Linked DNA regions of Arabidopsis thaliana. The protein of the gene in region 1 interacts with the protein of each later gene in a pairwise test. Each region holds a gene or a part of one and is shown in the gene's direction. Other genes may lie near its edges.

Region 1 (7,277 bases):
TTTATAAATTTGTTACGACATCACTTTTACATAATAATAAAGTGACAATTTTTTATTTTTTTTTAAATTAGACTATTTACAACAATATATATTCGATAATGATGTAATTCGAACAGAATTCATACAATTATCGTTTTAAAGTAAATCTTATATCACGAAAAAAAACATTCGAACAGAAATTATTATGCCATTTTCGTCGTGTGGTCTCTCTTTGACCAATGCAAAGAGAATGGATGGTAGACACAAGATCTGGGTTACATGTCCACGTAGTTCGACGTTCGGACACCGTAACTTGCGAAGCCAATTTAAGTCAACGACTCAACGTCCATCCACGTGTCTGTCTACCATCCATTAGATCCCACCATCTCAATAGCGCACCATAACAAAGTAAACCACAGCGTACATGAACTACTCTTTCGTTATAAATCCATTTTCCCGCCCATTGTCACATAACGCCTAGCTGTCACTTTGTTAATTCCGAAAATACCCATGGGGGAACATGATGGCTCCTAGATAAGGACATGGATATAAATGTAAATTCGGTAAAAAATCACGTAGTAACAAAAACGTAACCCCACCGGCGATTTTATATTAAATTCTTAGGTCTTTTAAACTTTAAAGGCGTTCACGGGGAAGGCATGTTTTTGGCTATTTTTATTAATATCTTGTTTTAGTGGAAACATTTAAAATATAATACGTGAAAAGATGAAATTATTTTTATTACCATAGCCCGGCACTTTGTATTTTAATTACCACATTTTAGATCACAGTAATCATGTTACTCCTATTTTTGTTATGATCGTGAATGATAAAACATAAAATGTGTATATACAACCGACTTTCATGATCTAATGATCACATGGAGACAGTTTTAGTGTACAAAAATAATAGACACATGCAATCATTTCTTTTAGGTAGATCTTAATTATTTGTTAGAAGCGTGTACAAATAATTACAAAGTATTTGTAAGAGAGAAACTATTTGAGTCAAACAGATTGGTACAAGAATGTCTATGACAAGAAAAGGCAATTTTATGCAATAATGTACATGATTTATCGAGCGTTATTTAGTCATTAGTGTAAATCATAATTTATTATTCTGAATAATTGACCATAAACGCTTTCTCGTGATTAGCAAATCTAGTGACTACTGATATATAATTCTCCCAGTTTTAGCCTTATAATGTGCTACTGACCATAAACAATCCTCTCTGTCAGTCGTCAGTCTTTTAATTCTCTCTTCTTTTTTTTCCTCTTATGCACTAAAAAGCGTGCATTACTGTTTCGGGTAATTTTATTTTTTTGTTTGCTAACAAATCCATAAAATTATGATATAGCGTATAGAGAGACATATTAAGCGTGCATGAACTAAGACTTGGTTTTTTCAACGTTATTAAACAAAAAAAAAGACTTTCAACGTTATAAAAACAAAGACGTATTCATTGTTAGTACTTAGTGGCAAATTGCATTGTAAATAAACCACCTAACAAAAGAGAGAAAACAAATTTTTTTTTTATTGCATAGAAACAAAAGAGAAGCAGCAGCAGTGAATAATAGAACTGTAAAATTCTCAAATTCCTTATTCTATTATTTTCTGTCCACTAATAATAACTAAAACAAAAAAGAGAAAAAAGGGAAAAGAAAAAAAAAACTGATGTCCGTTACTTTATTAAAAGGTTTAGGAATCGAGAGAGAGTATATTACTTATACTTGGACTTAGATTGCAGACAAAGCAAAGCATCAAAGATTCATTATTCACTGCTTATACATACACAGATACATAGAGACACTTGTTGTATATAATACAGAGAAAGAGAGACAGGTGTTAGGGCAAAGTTGATAGTAGTGGTGGGTCTGATTTCTGACATAGTCCCCATTTCCCGCCTTTGCTATTGTTTGAATATCTCTCCTCCTCCTCCTTCTTCTTCCACTAAAGACATATATAGAGAGAGAGAGAGAGAAACTTAATAAAAGACTGAGACTTTCCTCAGAGATAAGAAAGAGAGAGAGAGTGACACTGTGTTTGTGGATGTGATTTTTTTTGTTTGTGTGTTGGAAAATGGATACCCCTCAGAAGAGTATTACTCAGATCGGAACTCCAATTTCCAAATCCAGATTCGAGGTTTTTCTTCTTCTGTATAACTCTAATAATTGGTTTGGTCAAAGTTCTGTGTTTTTGTATTTTAATGAAATGTTTTGCTGTTTTTTTGTGCCAATTATCAGATTTCTCTGAATTCTTTTCTAATTTATTGTCATAGAAATTCAGATTTCATAGGTTTAATGGACCAATTATTCAATTCATTTTTTTACAAAAAAAAAAAAAAAAGTACTTTGGTTTTGTGTTTGAAGTCAATGCAGTTAGTTCAAAGACATAACTGTAACTGGTTTTAGATTTGTTTGACTTTGACGGTTTTAGTTGTTTCACATGTTACAGTGAAGTGTTGTTAATTATGATCAGTTATCTCCAATTCTCACTACAAATTCTATACTTTTTGTTTCTGTCCTGTTTTTCTTAAGATTCTTTGAATTGTGGAATCTGTAACCTTAATGGTACAAAAAAGATTCATAATTATAATGCAAATTTTAGTTGTTTTAATCTGATGGTTTAGTTGTTTCTGTCATATTATGATTATTTATCCCTAATTCGCTAAAAGATCTGTACTTTTGTTTCTGTTCTGTCTCATAAGATTCTTTTAATTGGAATCTGTAACCTTAATTACAGTACCAAAATAAGATTCATAATCTTCCCCTTTTTGTGTTTTGTCTGAAAATGCAGGATTCTCCAGTGTTCAATTACATAAACAGTTTGTCTCCAATAAGACCAGTCAGATCCATACCAAATCCTAACCAATTTAGCTCTCTGAATTTCACTTCCCCTCCCTCTGTTTTCACTTCACCTCACCTAACTTCTTCTCACAAAGAATCCAGATTCTTCAAAACTCACAACTCTTCTTCTTCTGATCCTACCAATTCCGTTGAATCTCAAGAAGACGAGTCTACTTCTCATGAAGAAGTTCCAGCAGAAGGAGAAGATACAAAAGGTCTTAACATAGATGATTGCATGCGAGAAGAAGCTTCAGTTGAAACGAATCTTGATGATTCCGTTGCTTCACCGTGTGGTGGAAATACTACTGATCTTTCGCTTGTTCCTTACGCTCCTACTCGAGGAGAGGATGGTTCTTGTGAGGATAATGGAATGGAGCTGCAGAAGATGCATGATAATGTTCAGGGGAAAACTGAAACTCCGGATTGGGAAAGTTTGATTGCAGATGCTTCTGAGCTGTTAATCTTTGACTCACCTGATGCTTCTGAGGCTTTTAGATGCTTTATGATGCAGAGAGCATCAAACTCTGAAGCACGTTTTAGAAATGGTGTGGAGAAGCAAACAATGCAGCACGATTCAAACAAGGAACCGGAGTCCGCGAATGCGATTCCTTATGAGGTAAACTCAGGAGTAATATCACAAGTAGTTATCTTCAGTGTTTTATAAATACTTACTGTCTCTAAAAGAGTTGTCTTCTTGGTTTTTGTTTTGTGTGATAGGCTGTTTCACTCTTGCACCGTGGTATAAGAAGACGTTGTCTTGACTTTGAGATGCCCGGGAATAAGCAAACATCAAGTGAGAATAACACCGCGGCTTGTGAATCCTCTTCGAGATGTGTTGTACCGAGTATTGGTCTTCATCTAAATGCCATTTTAATGTCTTCAAAGGACTGTAAAACCAATGTTACTCAAGATTACTCATGTTCTGCGAATATACAAGTGGGTTTACAAAGGTCCATCTCTACACTGCAAGATTCTTTGGACCAAACAGAAAATGAAATCCGGGAAGATGCAGATCAAGATGTTCCTGTTGAACCAGCTTTGCAAGAGTTAAATTTGAGCAGCCCTAAGAAGAAGAGGTAAGATTTTTTCCTTTAAGAGTAACTCCTCTGTGTAGAGTCCTTTTATCTCTGTCTTAATAACTGTTGGCATGATAAACACACAGGGTTAAGTTGGATTCTGGAGAAGGCGAGTCGTGTAAGCGATGCAACTGCAAAAAGTCCAAGTGTTTGAAACTGTAAGCTCCAAAGTTCCACATTTTTGATCTTTGGCCCTTCAAAAAAGTTTGGTGTTTTGAGTCTTCTGATGTTTGTGTGGTGCAGTTACTGTGAATGCTTTGCTGCTGGAGTCTATTGCATAGAGCCATGTTCATGTATAGACTGCTTCAATAAACCTATCCATGAAGACGTTGTCCTGGCGACTCGCAAACAGATTGAATCTCGGAATCCACTTGCATTTGCTCCTAAAGTCATTAGGAACTCTGACTCAGTTCAAGAAACCGGGGTAGGATTCTTTTCCCCGTCCTTTGATTCCTCTGCATCATCCATCTATCTTGCTTGAAGTTATAATAATATTGTAATGACACACAGGATGATGCAAGCAAAACTCCAGCTTCTGCGCGCCATAAACGTGGCTGCAACTGCAAGAAATCAAACTGTCTGAAGAAATACTGTGAATGCTATCAGGTTTTTATTTTCCCTCATCGATGTGCTTTCAATGGTTCCATGTGATTAACTTCCTATGGCCTGATTCCGGTAATTTGGTATGTTGTTTCTTTAAAGGGTGGTGTGGGCTGTTCCATAAACTGTAGATGTGAAGGATGTAAGAACGCATTCGGCCGGAAAGATGGTTAGCTTCTCTGCTTCTGAGTTTTCAATTTTTCATTACTAATAACCTCACATTCTCTTTCTGATTCTGATTCTGCTTAATGAATATCTCAGGGTCTTCCATTGACATGGAAGCCGAACAAGAAGAGGAAAATGAAACATCTGAGAAAAGCAGAACAGCCAAAAGCCAACAAAACACTGAGGTTTTAATGAGAAAGGACATGAGTTCTGCTCTACCTACGACACCAACGCCGATTTACAGGTAGAATATCAAATTCTAGAGGACTTTTTATGTGAGTCTATATCACCTGAGTAGCTGAGTTTTTTGTTTTTTTTTTCAGACCAGAACTGGTTCAACTACCTTTCTCATCATCTAAGAACAGGATGCCTCCTCCACAGTCTCTTCTTGGAGGTGGATCTTCCTCAGGGATATTTAACAGTCAATATCTAAGAAAACCAGACATTAGTTTGTCTCAATCCAGAATCGAGAAGTCATTCGAGACAGTCGCAGTTGATGGAGCTGAACAAATGCCTGAGATTCTCATCCATTCCCCTATACCTAACATCAAGAGTGTCTCTCCCAACGGAAAGAGGGTCTCTCCTCCTCATATGGAATCATCTAGCTCAGGCTCAATCTTAGGGAGAAGAAATGGCGGGCGGAAACTGATATTGCAGTCGATTCCATCGTTTCCTTCTCTCACTCCCCAACACTGAAAGCATTTGGTGTTGTGTAGCTAAGGAAATTCTTTGAATCTTTTTCAAGGTGAAAGATGATATAAGTCAACTTCTAGTTGGTAGTAAGTTAGCACTTAGCACACTTTTAAATCTGTAGTCTAGTCGTTGTGTAATAAAGATGTCAATCCATCATGTTCTTCACAACAAAACCAAACATTTCTTGTAATATAGGTTCCTTCTCTTGAAGTTCTACTATATCGAAACATACTGTGTCTGCTTCTAAAATCCGAGTTTCTGCCACGTTTCTCATTCAACCCCAGCACTAGCTTTATTTTAAAATACATCTTAAGCTAGTTGCTACAATATTTCAGAAATCATATCATATTATACTCTTCTAGAGTCAGTTCAATGAATATCTTTACAATAATCTATGAAAGACTAGATGTAATTTACCTTATGAACCACCCTACTCTTCTTTAGTCGAAGACCTTATACACCCGCAGAACCGGTTTTTCTTCTTTCTCGCACTTCTTTTTCCGCCCTTATGAATAATGTCTCTCAAGAGAATCACTGTCCTAGTCTCTGAAAACATTTTCCTTCCTTTGCTTTTGGTGCCATCTTCAAGCTTCAGAACTGTTTGCTCAATGTTCTGCATTTTGTTTTGCAGCTGCTCTATCTTCTCAGACCCGCTTCTTGACTTCTCCACGACCACCTTTCTGTATATATCTCTGGCATCTCCAGTCTCTTCAATTTCCTTTGAAAGAATCTCGTTTGTGTTTTCCAGCTGCGAGACAGCTTCTTCCATTTCTTTCAACTGTCTCTTCACTATAACCAAATCAGCGTTGCTGAATCTTCTTTGTTTCTCATTCATCTCCAGCTTTCTTTTCAGATCTGTTAGGCTAATCCGGAGACTTGACAGTCTCCTTGAATCAGACAAAAGTCTCTCCAGAATCTTTGCCTTGTCTTCGATGTTTCTAGATAACTCTAGTTTGTCAACAACTCCAACCGCTTTATCAGATTCTATAGAGGGATTCCGGCTTTGATGACGGAGATTGGAGTTCAATGACCTCTGCGGTTTGTTACTGTTGATGAGAAAGTTTACACTGGTCTCTGATTCAGCAGATTCATCCCAAAACTCAAACATGTCATTGGAACCATGACTAGTTCCCTGGCTTCTGCCATAGGTCAGGGAGTCTGTGACTTGATCACGAGGATTGTCTTTCATTAATAATTCATTTTTCACCTCTGTCATCTCAGGCCTCAATCTTGGCTGTCTAGATTCACCAGTGACCTGGTCATCAGGTTGTATATTTTCAATCTTCCTGCGGTCTCTGCGTTTTTGGGAGGTGCTTCGTGTTATTTGCCTTGATAGCCTGCCTTTTTCTTTAACAAATGCTTGTTCGATGGTCTTAATACTTGGATTAATTTCCTTCAGAATCACAATTCCATTGCATGGGCTGGTGGTACTGCCGCTTTCTTCCAGATTGTTTCCCTGAAAAAAATGGAAATGTTTAGAATTATTTAAGATCGGTACAGCGAGAAAGATGAGTTGACATTTGAAATAGAAGAACGAGTGCAAAAGTTTACCACTCTTTGTTGATAGGCTGTTGCAGGAAATTTCGTTAAAGCATGTGTACTTTTCTCAAGGGCTTTTACATCCCCTGCCAAAGATGCTATCACAGGATCATAAGCTGACAACTGACTCTTCAGCTCAGTCACTTGAGACTCCAAAAATCCAACTGTTTCTTTCATCTGTTTAATCTTAGTCGTTTTCGTAACAACTTCATCATTGAGGTTTTCACAAACTCCTGAGAGTTCGTTAACTTTGTTCTCAAGAATGAGTTCACGGATAGCTGAGACCTGAAGATCAAAGTAGAAAGATGTTGCCGCAGAATCCCAAAGTCCAATCTCATTGCTTTTCTCTTGCAGCTCCAAACTCAGGTACTCCTCTCGA
Region 2 (4,320 bases), on another chromosome or scaffold:
AAAATCTAAAATTTTGTAATAGTTATAGCATACATTGTTTAAGAGTAATTAACTGTGTAGATCAGTCTTTGTTTGAGGAAAAAATGAATGCTTCTTTTTAGTGTAGGATAATTAAAGGTAGGAATATTTTCAGATAACAAACAAAGATCGAACTAAGATATCAGTTTCGCTTTAGCTTAACAGAACACATGAAAGCAAGATTTCCCAAGAACAACTTTTTAAGTTTGAACAAAAAGCCACTAAGTAACTCATAATTATATACATAAAAAAGGTATCAGTACTTTGAAGGCATTCGGACGCAGAGTTTCAGATATTGATGATTTACTATTCCTGGGGAATGCTGATGAGATTCTATTTTTTAAGAGCATAATTAAATCCACAAGTAGGATAAGATAAGATCAGCTATGGTAGAGTTTAAAAATATCATATGACATGTAACACTGACATCTTATGATGTATAATTTGAGATATTTGGAAGATCTTCTTTTTTCTCATAAAATATTTCATTGTCTAGTCCATGGGACGAGTTTGAAGTTAAGCAGATCATGGAAAGAGAATCTAATATTATGAAGTTGTACAATTTCACTGAAAACAAGATAAAGGGAAGAAAAACATGTCTCCCTTTAATCTTTGAATGCATATTCAGTCATGTCATGACTGACCCATCCATCATCTTTCTTCGAATCTCCTATCTCACTGAACATGTTTGGAGGCAGCCTTCCGTATTTTATATCTACACTTATGATCTCCTATCTCTCCATCACCCATATTTGATTATATTTTTCAACATATTAATGTCTCAATTTCCCATTCTTATTAGTTAAAAAGGAAAAACAAACCCTAACTCGTGGTGATTCAGTGGTTGAAATTTTTTTCATACGGTTTAAATGGCAAAATTCTTCATAGATCCCGGAGATTATACGGAACTTGGTTTATAATTCCCGGCTCGAAAGTTTAAGCATTGGCGACCAGAGTTTAGATATCAAATCTTGTAAAATACGCATGCATGGTTGTCATGCAAACGTAGTATTATGATGTAACCAGTGAATCTAAATTGGACTGAGGAGGTAGGGGGTAAATAGACACACAAATCTAAGTTCATATACATTTTTGCTTAAATATTTATTGGTGGATTCAAGTCATGGGGGCTGTTTTGTACTTGGAGTAATTTATAATGTAAACAATCGAGAAGAACATGTGTTAAGATTCTGGAGCTAGGCGTAGGGTTTCTCTTTACGTAGTTTTCATAGCGTGTGTATTTGTGTACGGCCCTTTGAAATAACGCGAAAACATTTATTCTCGGTTTTTAAAATTCTCTTTTTTTCTGTTTATTGAAAAAATGACGAGACACGAACATTGGCAACTAAGGACAATTGGTGTGGCTTAAATTAGATATCTAATTATTCGGCTGTGCTCCATTGTCTAACGTATCACAATTCGACAGATGTATCTTAGTATCTACAATATATCAATTATTAAATTCGATGACTTAAGCTGTTTAAAGTTTCATTTTCTCGTAGTTGAAAATTTTACAAAAAGAAATGTTCTTAAGGGAGATAAAACAAGCACAATGGCAAATCCGAAAGAAGGATAGGTGGATGAATGTAGAAAGAAAAGTGCAAAAATTAAACGAAAATAGAAACAGTTAGAACATAAAAGGAAAAATGAGCTGGTAATAATTAAGATGTTTAAGTTAAGAAAATGGCTTTGACAGCATGAAAAGAGAGTGTAAAGAAGTTATTAACAGAGCATAGAGTCTCACTAACTGTAAGTTTGGTGTTTTCGGTCAGCCCAATTTGTGTTACGGTCAGCCTGCCCGAACCCAACAACTTGTAACATCCTCACACAAAAACTCCTCTCTATGTTTCCTATATATATAGACACTTGCACACACTCTCATTTCCTCCCAAACAACCCCAAACTTATAACAAAATGGCATCATCTCTTCCTCAGTTCTACGCTGATTTCACAACATTTTCCTGCGAGACTTCTTCGCAGTTTCACGGCTCTTCTTCATGTCCTGACGTGGACTCTTCGTTATCCAGCTACCTCGACGACTGTTATGGCTCCTTCAACACCTCTTCTAATCCAGAATCCATCTTTGTACCCCAAGTCTTTGGGATTTCTGACGTCTCTGTGCCTGAATACAACAATTATTACCAGAAAATGAGTGTGAATAATGCCACACATTACTTTCATGGTGGAGATCATCAAGAATACTACGGCTTTTCACCGGAGATCAAGCCCTTGTTCCGTCCGGCCACAGGAGAGCAATCTTGGGTACGTATATATTCACGTTTGAAAATCTTATAGTTAATATGAGAGACATTTAATATATACGCATGCAAGAAACGAAATAAAATAAATATTTTGTGTGAAGCAGGGAAATAGTGAAGGAGGGATACAAGCTGAGCCAAATACAAAAGTGGGACGCTATTCGGTGGAGGAACGTAAAGACAGAATCATGAGGTACTTGAAGAAGAAGAACCAACGCAACTTCAATAAGACCATCAAGGTACGTATACATATACATACTACACTCATTCTTATTTAGTTTAGTTAATTACATATTCATTTTTGAATGTTTTCAAATGATTATGTGTGTATGCAGTATGTGTGTCGTAAAACCCTAGCCGACAGGCGTGTTCGTGTTCGCGGCCGATTTGCTAGAAACAATGACACATGTGAAGAACAACCTCACATGTCTAAGAATCACAACAACCATTCTGAAAAAGAGGAAGATATGTTTTCAGGATCAGACGACTATCTAATCCAGGTATTTATTTAATTATTCCAAGACACTAGTATATTATTATATGCCATCATTACTTGTAATTTGTAAATCTAATTAACCAATGCATCCCAATTTAAAGCAGATGGAACACGATGACGGATGGCTTCACGAAGCAATGTCCAATCTGATTCCTTTTCCTTGTGAATTTGACGCTCCTGGAGATGCTCATCATCCAACCAATTGGAGCTTCTGATGTCACTACCTATCTCATTTACTTCCGAATCAATTAATGTCTCTAGATATTAAGTTTCATCAGTTAGTTTAGTTTTACTAAGCAGCTTATTTATTTTATGGTAGATTTATCATATTGTACTTAATTGTTCTTGGGGTTATTGAACATGAAGATTCTGTCTAGTGAATAAATAAAAGAACTTTACGTACTTATAATCATCATATCTAATTATGACGTGAGGATAATTTCAGCCAATGCAGGCAATCTCAATACAAGAGCAAGTTTTTATGGTTTTTGGATTTTTGTGTTCTTCAAAAAAAAAAAGTTACGTTGATCTACTTTACCTTTTTCACAGTAAATCAAAGTTCATATCATGTGGAAACCAAAAAGACGATTCTAAGAGGGGTAAAAAGTTTGTTGAGATTATTTAAGGCAAACAACATCTTTTTACGATATGCGAATAAATTGGGTGAGTCGATAAGAGATTAATTACTTAACTGGTGGATTCATGGAACAATTGTGTATTAAGGAATATATGATGCAATTTTAATCATAAGACGAATGACTTAACGTAACATAGCTTGTGGCGCCCTTTCTTTTCTTTCTTTCGTCGATGCTTACATATGAATGGATATAAAGAATAATGCCGATTAATTGGTCGTAACAAAAACATAGAAACATGATAAGTTGTACACAAATTCTTGCAATGATAGGTAAGGAGCTAAAGAATGCTGTCTACAAATTAAAGAATCCAATTATTCATTATAGGGATTATTATTATTGATGCATGAAAACATAGAGAGAGTGGAGATGAAAGACATGATACGGAACCAAGTTCCAATCACTTTTTAAGACATATAATTCTTATAACAAACATAATAAGGCTTCAAAATCTGCAAATTATATTCTCTGAAGTTGTCCCCTTTATTTTCTGCTTTGACGAATATATGTGAAGTTGAAGGCTGAAGCCCTCTCATCTGCTTTTTTACTTTTCCACTTTTTCCTTCTCAGCACACCTCTAGTGGTAAATACATGAAAATTAGGTACCTAACAACAAAAATTGTTATATGTGAATATTTTTGCAAACTTCTTTTTCGATGATAGTGAAATCCGCAACAAGAGAAAATAGTTGTAACTTTTATATTCAAGATAAAATCATCACTATAAATCATGTGCTTTATGATCATTTTAACTGCTTGCTTTGATCATTTTTGAAAACCGGATTTAAATTTAAATCCTAACAATTAACAATTTAACATGACATGTAGGTCTAGATAGTTTATGTGGAAGTGGGCAACAACAAACAATCTCTTTAGTTCATTGTTAGCCCGACAAAATTACTACTAGTTTATAG
Region 3 (5,925 bases), on another chromosome or scaffold:
CACATATCATGCGGACAGGATCATCAATCATCACTGATTAGTATTAATGAAGTTGGCTTTTAGATAAAGTATTCAACCAATAATATGGGGAATGGACATCTCCGAGACTCCGACCAATAATGAGAAAGTTAATCAAATCTATTTATGGGTCGGACCGATCACTATTTTTCTGATGCGGAAACTTATCAACAAACTTTGAATTTTTTAGCTTTTTGTTTTACAATGAATCTATTTGCATTAATTTTAAAACTGTGTTTATAATTAAACAAGAAAAATGGTTTGAAATGATGAATTCATTGGCCTAGGACGTGAGATCAAAACGCCAACTCCAAATCCAACCAAGCCAATGTTCATTTCTCCACGTGGCGTTTTTAATGGATCAAAATCATTGCACCAAACCTAATTTCCAACAAATCAACATTTATGCGGCGAACTTACTCCCCAAATCCAACGTAACAATCGCACTATACACTTTTTTTTTTTAATTCCATAAATTTCATAGTTCTTTTTTCTCCAAATTTATAATTATAGACAGGGTCCAAAATGTTTCATGAAAATTAAGTAAAAAAGTAATTAATATTAAAAATGATAAAATATAGGTCAATTACCTAAAAACAGAGTTTTTCTTTGCTATAAATGGTAGGTTAATTTTTCTACCAACATTAAAAAAAAAAAAACACTATTATTTAGTAGTAAATTGTAGTCTTACCTAGATTGATTGAGGAATTTAATGAAATACTTTTACAAAAAAAAATACCATGAAACAATATATGTGATTACAAAAGTTAATGATCTATGCGATTAGGAAGAAAATGTTCGAAATTCAAAGCTATTACTAAGATAGTTAAAAATATATCCAAAACGGATAAGAACGTTCGATTTAAAAGTCATGTATTCATTTATCTTATGGAAAATATTTTAATCGAACACAAAATTCCGTTGACACAGATTGAGTCACACAATGGATAAACAAAAGGATCACAATTGGCAATACAAGAGGGCGTGTAAGATTGGATGAGAACAAAATGCCACGAGGGATGAGGAGAGGTGGCTCTTGGGAAGAGGCAAAGGTCGGTTTATTGCAATAACCGGCTTTTCTAGTTTTTTTTTAATAAACAGCTCTTTGACGCAAAGCCAAAAACAATATTGGTCCCGGATTTGTTCACTTTCCACATTGGATTGATAAGAAAACATAAATCTGCCTACATGGAACAAAAAGGTCGTCTTGTTTTTCGGATCACAAACAAAAGCAACCTTATAATAGTCACTTTTTTTCAGGAACGTAAATTATGCAAATATTTTCATTTTTTGTTTTCATCTTATTTTCCTAATGTTGGGAATATAATACGGACAGTGTTACACGGTGTAACTTACACCGTTGGTCCAGCTCAATACACAAATCAAATAGAACATTATCTATGTTAAATTCTTATGCATGTTACACCAAGTCGGTAATATATATTAAAAGGTTTAAAACAAATATAAGCAATTGAAATTAAATACAAAATTGAGCTTGTTAGTGGGACATTGTTTAACTAACTTCTCATGGAAATTAAACTCATCACTCTTGCTATGGTTGAGACATTGTTTAACTAAGTTCTCATGGAAAAAATGGGGCGCCACTTAAGGTATAAACCAAAATATTTGCGTTAAACCCTAGATAAGCTAAGATGCCATGGAAACAAAACACTGGGCGAGTTTTCTTCTCGTGACAATTATCATCAAAAATTATGGAACAAGTTGATCCTAATCCTAATCCTCTTATCAATATCTTTGATTGTCTTAAAGTTTTTATTTATTTTATTTCGTGATAATTGCATTGTCTTAAAGTTCATAGTTGCATAATAACTTTATCCCCAAACTTTCATGATCTCCACGGACCAAAAAAAAAAAAACTTAGGAATTAGTTTACCAAAAACTCCAACTACTTAAAATTTCAGATATTTGTTGTCAGTATTCAAATACTACACTCGGAAGTTTCGTTCGACTATGATACATATTCTCAGTTCTTTTTTGATGATTCATGGAAGATAAATTTGAATATGAATTCTCCTGTTCGTTATAAATTATTGTAATAAAGACTTAAAGAGTGATCCAGCTTCATCTCTTTATCCACAAATGCTATTCCCGTCACATAAAAATGCCAAAAAAAGAAAAAAAAGAGTGATAATCTAAGTGAAAACAGATCACGAGCGTGTTAGATAAGAATAGAGAGACGCAAAAATAAAATAGATATTTGCGAGACGCCACGTAAGCAACCAAAAGGTTACGGTAGGACCCACCTCGCTAATGTCTATATAACCAGAAATGTGCCAAAGCCTTTCTTCTTCAAACTACCAAACCTACAGAAATCTCTCTTCTTCTTCTTCTCTACAAAATTTCAATGGAAGCTGTTCTTGTCGCAATGTCCGTCCCCGCCACAACGGAAGACGACGGATTTTCGTTAATCACCGATAAACTTTCATATAATCTAACGCCGACGTCGGACGTTGAGATCGTTACCTCCGATAACCGTCGGATTCCGGCACACTCCGGCGTTCTGGTAAGTTGTTATTTATTTTGGTTTACGGTTTACATTTTTCTGGTTTGGTTTTTAGCTAAAATTTGTGGATAATGCAGGCTTCAGCTTCACCGGTACTGATGAACATCATGAAGAAACCGATGAGACGTTACAGAGGCTGTGGATCTAAAAGAGTCATCAAGATTCTTGGCGTTCCATGCGACGCCGTTTCGGTTTTTATCAAATTCCTCTACTCTTCTAGGTTGGTTTGGTTCGGTTATTCTTCTTGAATTTTCCAAATGTAGAAACTTCAAACCGATGGTTATTTCCGGTACTACACAATTTTCCCGGTTTTTCTTTTTCATACACGGATTTGAAGAAACTCTGTTTTTTTTTGGGCTATTTTCTTGGGGAAACAATAGCTGTCAGGAAATGACTAAACTACCCTTTTGCGTCTCTGTTTTAGTTTGACGGAGGATGAGATGGAGAGATATGGAATCCATCTTTTAGCGTTGTCTCACGTCTACATGGTCACCCAGCTGAAGCAACGGTGCTCAAAAGGCGTTGTACAACGTTTAACTACAGAGAACGTAGTCGACGTCCTCCAGCTAGCTCGGCTCTGCGACGCACCCGATGTTTGCCTTCGATCTATGCGTCTGATCCATTCGCAGTTTAAGACCGTTGAGCAGACTGAAGGATGGAAGTTTATTCAAGAACATGATCCTTTCCTCGAGCTCGACATTCTCCAGTTCATCGATGACGCCGAATCGGTAAACTTACTTATATGTTTTGAAAACACAGCATCTCTGTTTTTCTTAGTACCTTCGATAACACATTTTGTTCAGCTAGGTTTAGTTTTTGTTCCGCGCTAGTAAAAAGATAATTTTTTTTTTTTTAAATTCAGTTTATTTAGTTTGGCATGTTGCACAAAGTTTAGAGTATTAGTTAACTCATGTTTGATTAGATTTGGTTTATATACCTAATTAACCCCAAAACATTTGGTCATTTTTCTGATTATGTGTTGATTTATAATTTAACGCAGAGGAAGAAAAGAAGGCGACGACATAGAAAGGAGCAGGATCTTTACATGCAACTAAGCGAGGCAATGGAGTGCATAGAGCACATATGCACACAAGGTTGTACATTGGTCGGTCCATCAAACGTAGTAGATAACAACAAAAAGTCAATGACTGCGGAAAAGTCAGAGCCTTGTAAGGCGTTTTCCACGTGTTATGGTCTTCAGCTTTTGATACGTCACTTTGCCGTATGCAAGAGGAGGAATAACGATAAGGGTTGTCTTCGTTGCAAGCGGATGCTTCAACTCTTTAGACTCCATTCTTTGATTTGTGATCAACCCGATTCTTGTCGCGTCCCTCTCTGCAGGTATGTCCCAACTTGTTTTGTTAGGAATTTCACATTTGAAATAAATCAAAAAGTATGAGCGAATCCATTTACGCTTAATTAGTAAGTTTGAAATTGATGATTTTTAGTATGTTTATGAATAAAAACCAATGTTTTGTTGAAAGTGAAAAAATTTCATTTTTGGTAAGAGACAAGGTTTGTTTATCTTTTTGTGTAGACCCACCTTTAGAAAAGTTGCAAATTGCTATGTGAATTGATGATGGGTCGTAATCCGACGGCTGCAAATTGTTGCCATTTCTTGAAATTTGTAGATATTTTAATAGAATCTCATGTGTTCTTTTCAACTCTTTTTTTTGGGACTAGGCAATTTAGGAAACGGGGAGAACAAGACAAGAAAATGGGTGAAGACACCAAGTGGAAGCTTCTGGTGACAAGGGTTGTGTCTGCAAAAGCTATGACGTCGTTGTGTCAGTCAAAGAAGAACAAATGTGAACAAGCACAAGGGGTTTAATCAAAACCAGGAAGGAGTTAGTTAGGTTTGAAGAAGATTAAGTAAGAAGCTTTCTTATAATTTGATATCCATTCTTTTTGTAGTATAATAGTATTTGTTAGTTCGATTCTTTATTAGAGGGGTTTAGTTTGTATAGGAGTAAACCCTTTTAAATTGGCTGTATAAGTAGGTCATATTCAATTGTTTTGTTCTATTTATCTGAAAAATGTCAGCATGTAATACAAAACAAATAAATGTTCAAATTAAAGGGAGGATTACAAGAGGTGTTTTTAATGTTATTGACTTTGGCCAAAATTTTGAAATTTAGATAATTCTATCCGTTGTTTCGCGATTACAAAAAAGTTGAATTCAAACGTGTGTTGAAAATAAAAAAATATCGTGTTTAGCGTGATTAGTGATTACAAAGACTCAAATTTTTGACTCCCAAATATGTTCAATAATATTGGTAAGACATTAAGAACATGAACCAATAATCGACCGTAAAACATCTTTGGCGATGTTTTGGTAAAACCTAATTTTGGTTTTGGTGTGGCTTCATAGGCTTGGTGCGCCGTTTTACCCTTCTAAGCCTATGAGCTTCTCTCCCGTTGGGTTTGTTTACCCTTTTGATTTGGACGTTTTGGTTTTTGTGTTTTAATTTATGTCTTTAATTTTTGTAATCTTTTACAAGGGTTAAGTCCAATGTGTTTGTTCCCAGTTATGATCCTAAAAATGTCAATAAATATGAAAATAATTTGAAAAAAAAACATCTTTACAATTACAAAACGTCCATCTTGGAGAATTGAATTGCACTTTTTGTAATAGTAAAGATGTTTTACTGTCCATTATTGTTTTATGATCTTAATAATTACAAACACTATCCTCAAAAGTTACAATTCTTGGCCATTTTGTAAGTCAATTAAACTTGCACATAGTAAAGTATTTAACGCCATTTTTCCGCAAAGCAAATGCTGGCCAATATTACAAGGAGATAAAAATCGTCTCAATTTAAGATGAATACACGATAAATGTGTAAACTGAAACCCATGAACCTCAATCCATAAAATAATAAACTCAGTGTAAGCTCACTAGAAGAATGGTTCGAAATTCAGTTTTCAATGACTTAAAGTCTCTAGAGCTCGTCTTTAACATCATCACGAACTACTGACTCATGAGTAGAAGGAGTCGAAGAGAGCTTGGTGGGATAAGAAGCCTCCATGGCTATACCGCAACGTCCTTCATTCTCCGATATTCCTCTTTCTATCCGAACATAGCCTCCTTCTCCCCATTCAGGTCCCCATGAGTTCCTTACTATCCAATATTTTGTTCCATTTTTGGTCTCTCCATACCCAACAATCACCACCCCGTGGTTCAACTGAGTCCCGCATTCTCCGATAAACACACCCTACAGTAGAATGCATAGCACGTTTTCTATAGTAAAAACAATGTTCGGCATTTGTTGTCTCACTAAGATTGATGTTTTAGATTATGTTCACCATAAACTTATATTCAAAATACTTAAAACATATGCTTTTTGTATATAATATGCTTTATTTGCATAGAGAAAATTTTA

The links.
Region 2: the proteins of TCX2 (region 1) and ASML2 interact in a two-hybrid assay, tested with the Arabidopsis thaliana proteins (one large-scale study listed by BioGRID).
Region 3: the proteins of TCX2 (region 1) and BT2 interact in a two-hybrid assay, tested with the Arabidopsis thaliana proteins (one large-scale study listed by BioGRID).

Annotation. Positions count from the first base shown.
Region 1 is NC_003075.7:8,479,607-8,486,883, reverse strand, and holds TCX2 (TESMIN/TSO1-like CXC 2), read left to right. Parts: upstream 1-1,907; 5' UTR 1,908-2,058; coding exon 2,059-2,121; intron 2,122-2,301; exon of another isoform or gene 2,302-2,546; coding exon of another isoform or gene 2,547-2,549; intron 2,550-2,553; exon of another isoform or gene 2,554-2,769; coding exon of another isoform or gene 2,770-2,775; coding exon 2,776-3,441; intron 3,442-3,542; coding exon 3,543-3,901; intron 3,902-3,987; coding exon 3,988-4,059; intron 4,060-4,144; coding exon 4,145-4,325; intron 4,326-4,411; coding exon 4,412-4,507; intron 4,508-4,603; coding exon 4,604-4,670; intron 4,671-4,762; coding exon 4,763-4,910; intron 4,911-4,989; coding exon 4,990-5,362; 3' UTR 5,363-5,789; downstream 5,790-7,277. Other genes in the region: NET1B (kinase interacting (KIP1-like) family protein), read right to left, coding at 5,790-6,815, 6,911-7,277. UniProt on the Arabidopsis thaliana protein: Plays a role in development of both male and female reproductive tissues.
Region 2 is NC_003074.8:4,097,291-4,101,610, forward strand, and holds ASML2 (activator of spomin::LUC2), read left to right. Parts: upstream 1-1,908; 5' UTR 1,909-1,932; coding exon 1,933-2,280; intron 2,281-2,383; coding exon 2,384-2,515; intron 2,516-2,611; coding exon 2,612-2,776; intron 2,777-2,876; coding exon 2,877-2,987; 3' UTR 2,988-3,244; downstream 3,245-4,320.
Region 3 is NC_003074.8:17,906,930-17,912,854, reverse strand, and holds BT2 (BTB and TAZ domain protein 2), read left to right. Parts: upstream 1-2,116; 5' UTR 2,117-2,383; coding exon 2,384-2,542; intron 2,543-2,619; coding exon 2,620-2,762; exon of another isoform or gene 2,763-2,966; coding exon 2,967-3,270; intron 3,271-3,542; coding exon 3,543-3,883; coding exon of another isoform or gene 3,884-3,941; exon of another isoform or gene 3,942-4,225; coding exon 4,226-4,373; 3' UTR 4,374-5,088; downstream 5,089-5,925. Other genes in the region: CEP3 (Cysteine proteinases superfamily protein), read right to left, coding at 5,485-5,757. UniProt on the Arabidopsis thaliana protein: May act as a substrate-specific adapter of an E3 ubiquitin-protein ligase complex (CUL3-RBX1-BTB) which mediates the ubiquitination and subsequent proteasomal degradation of target proteins.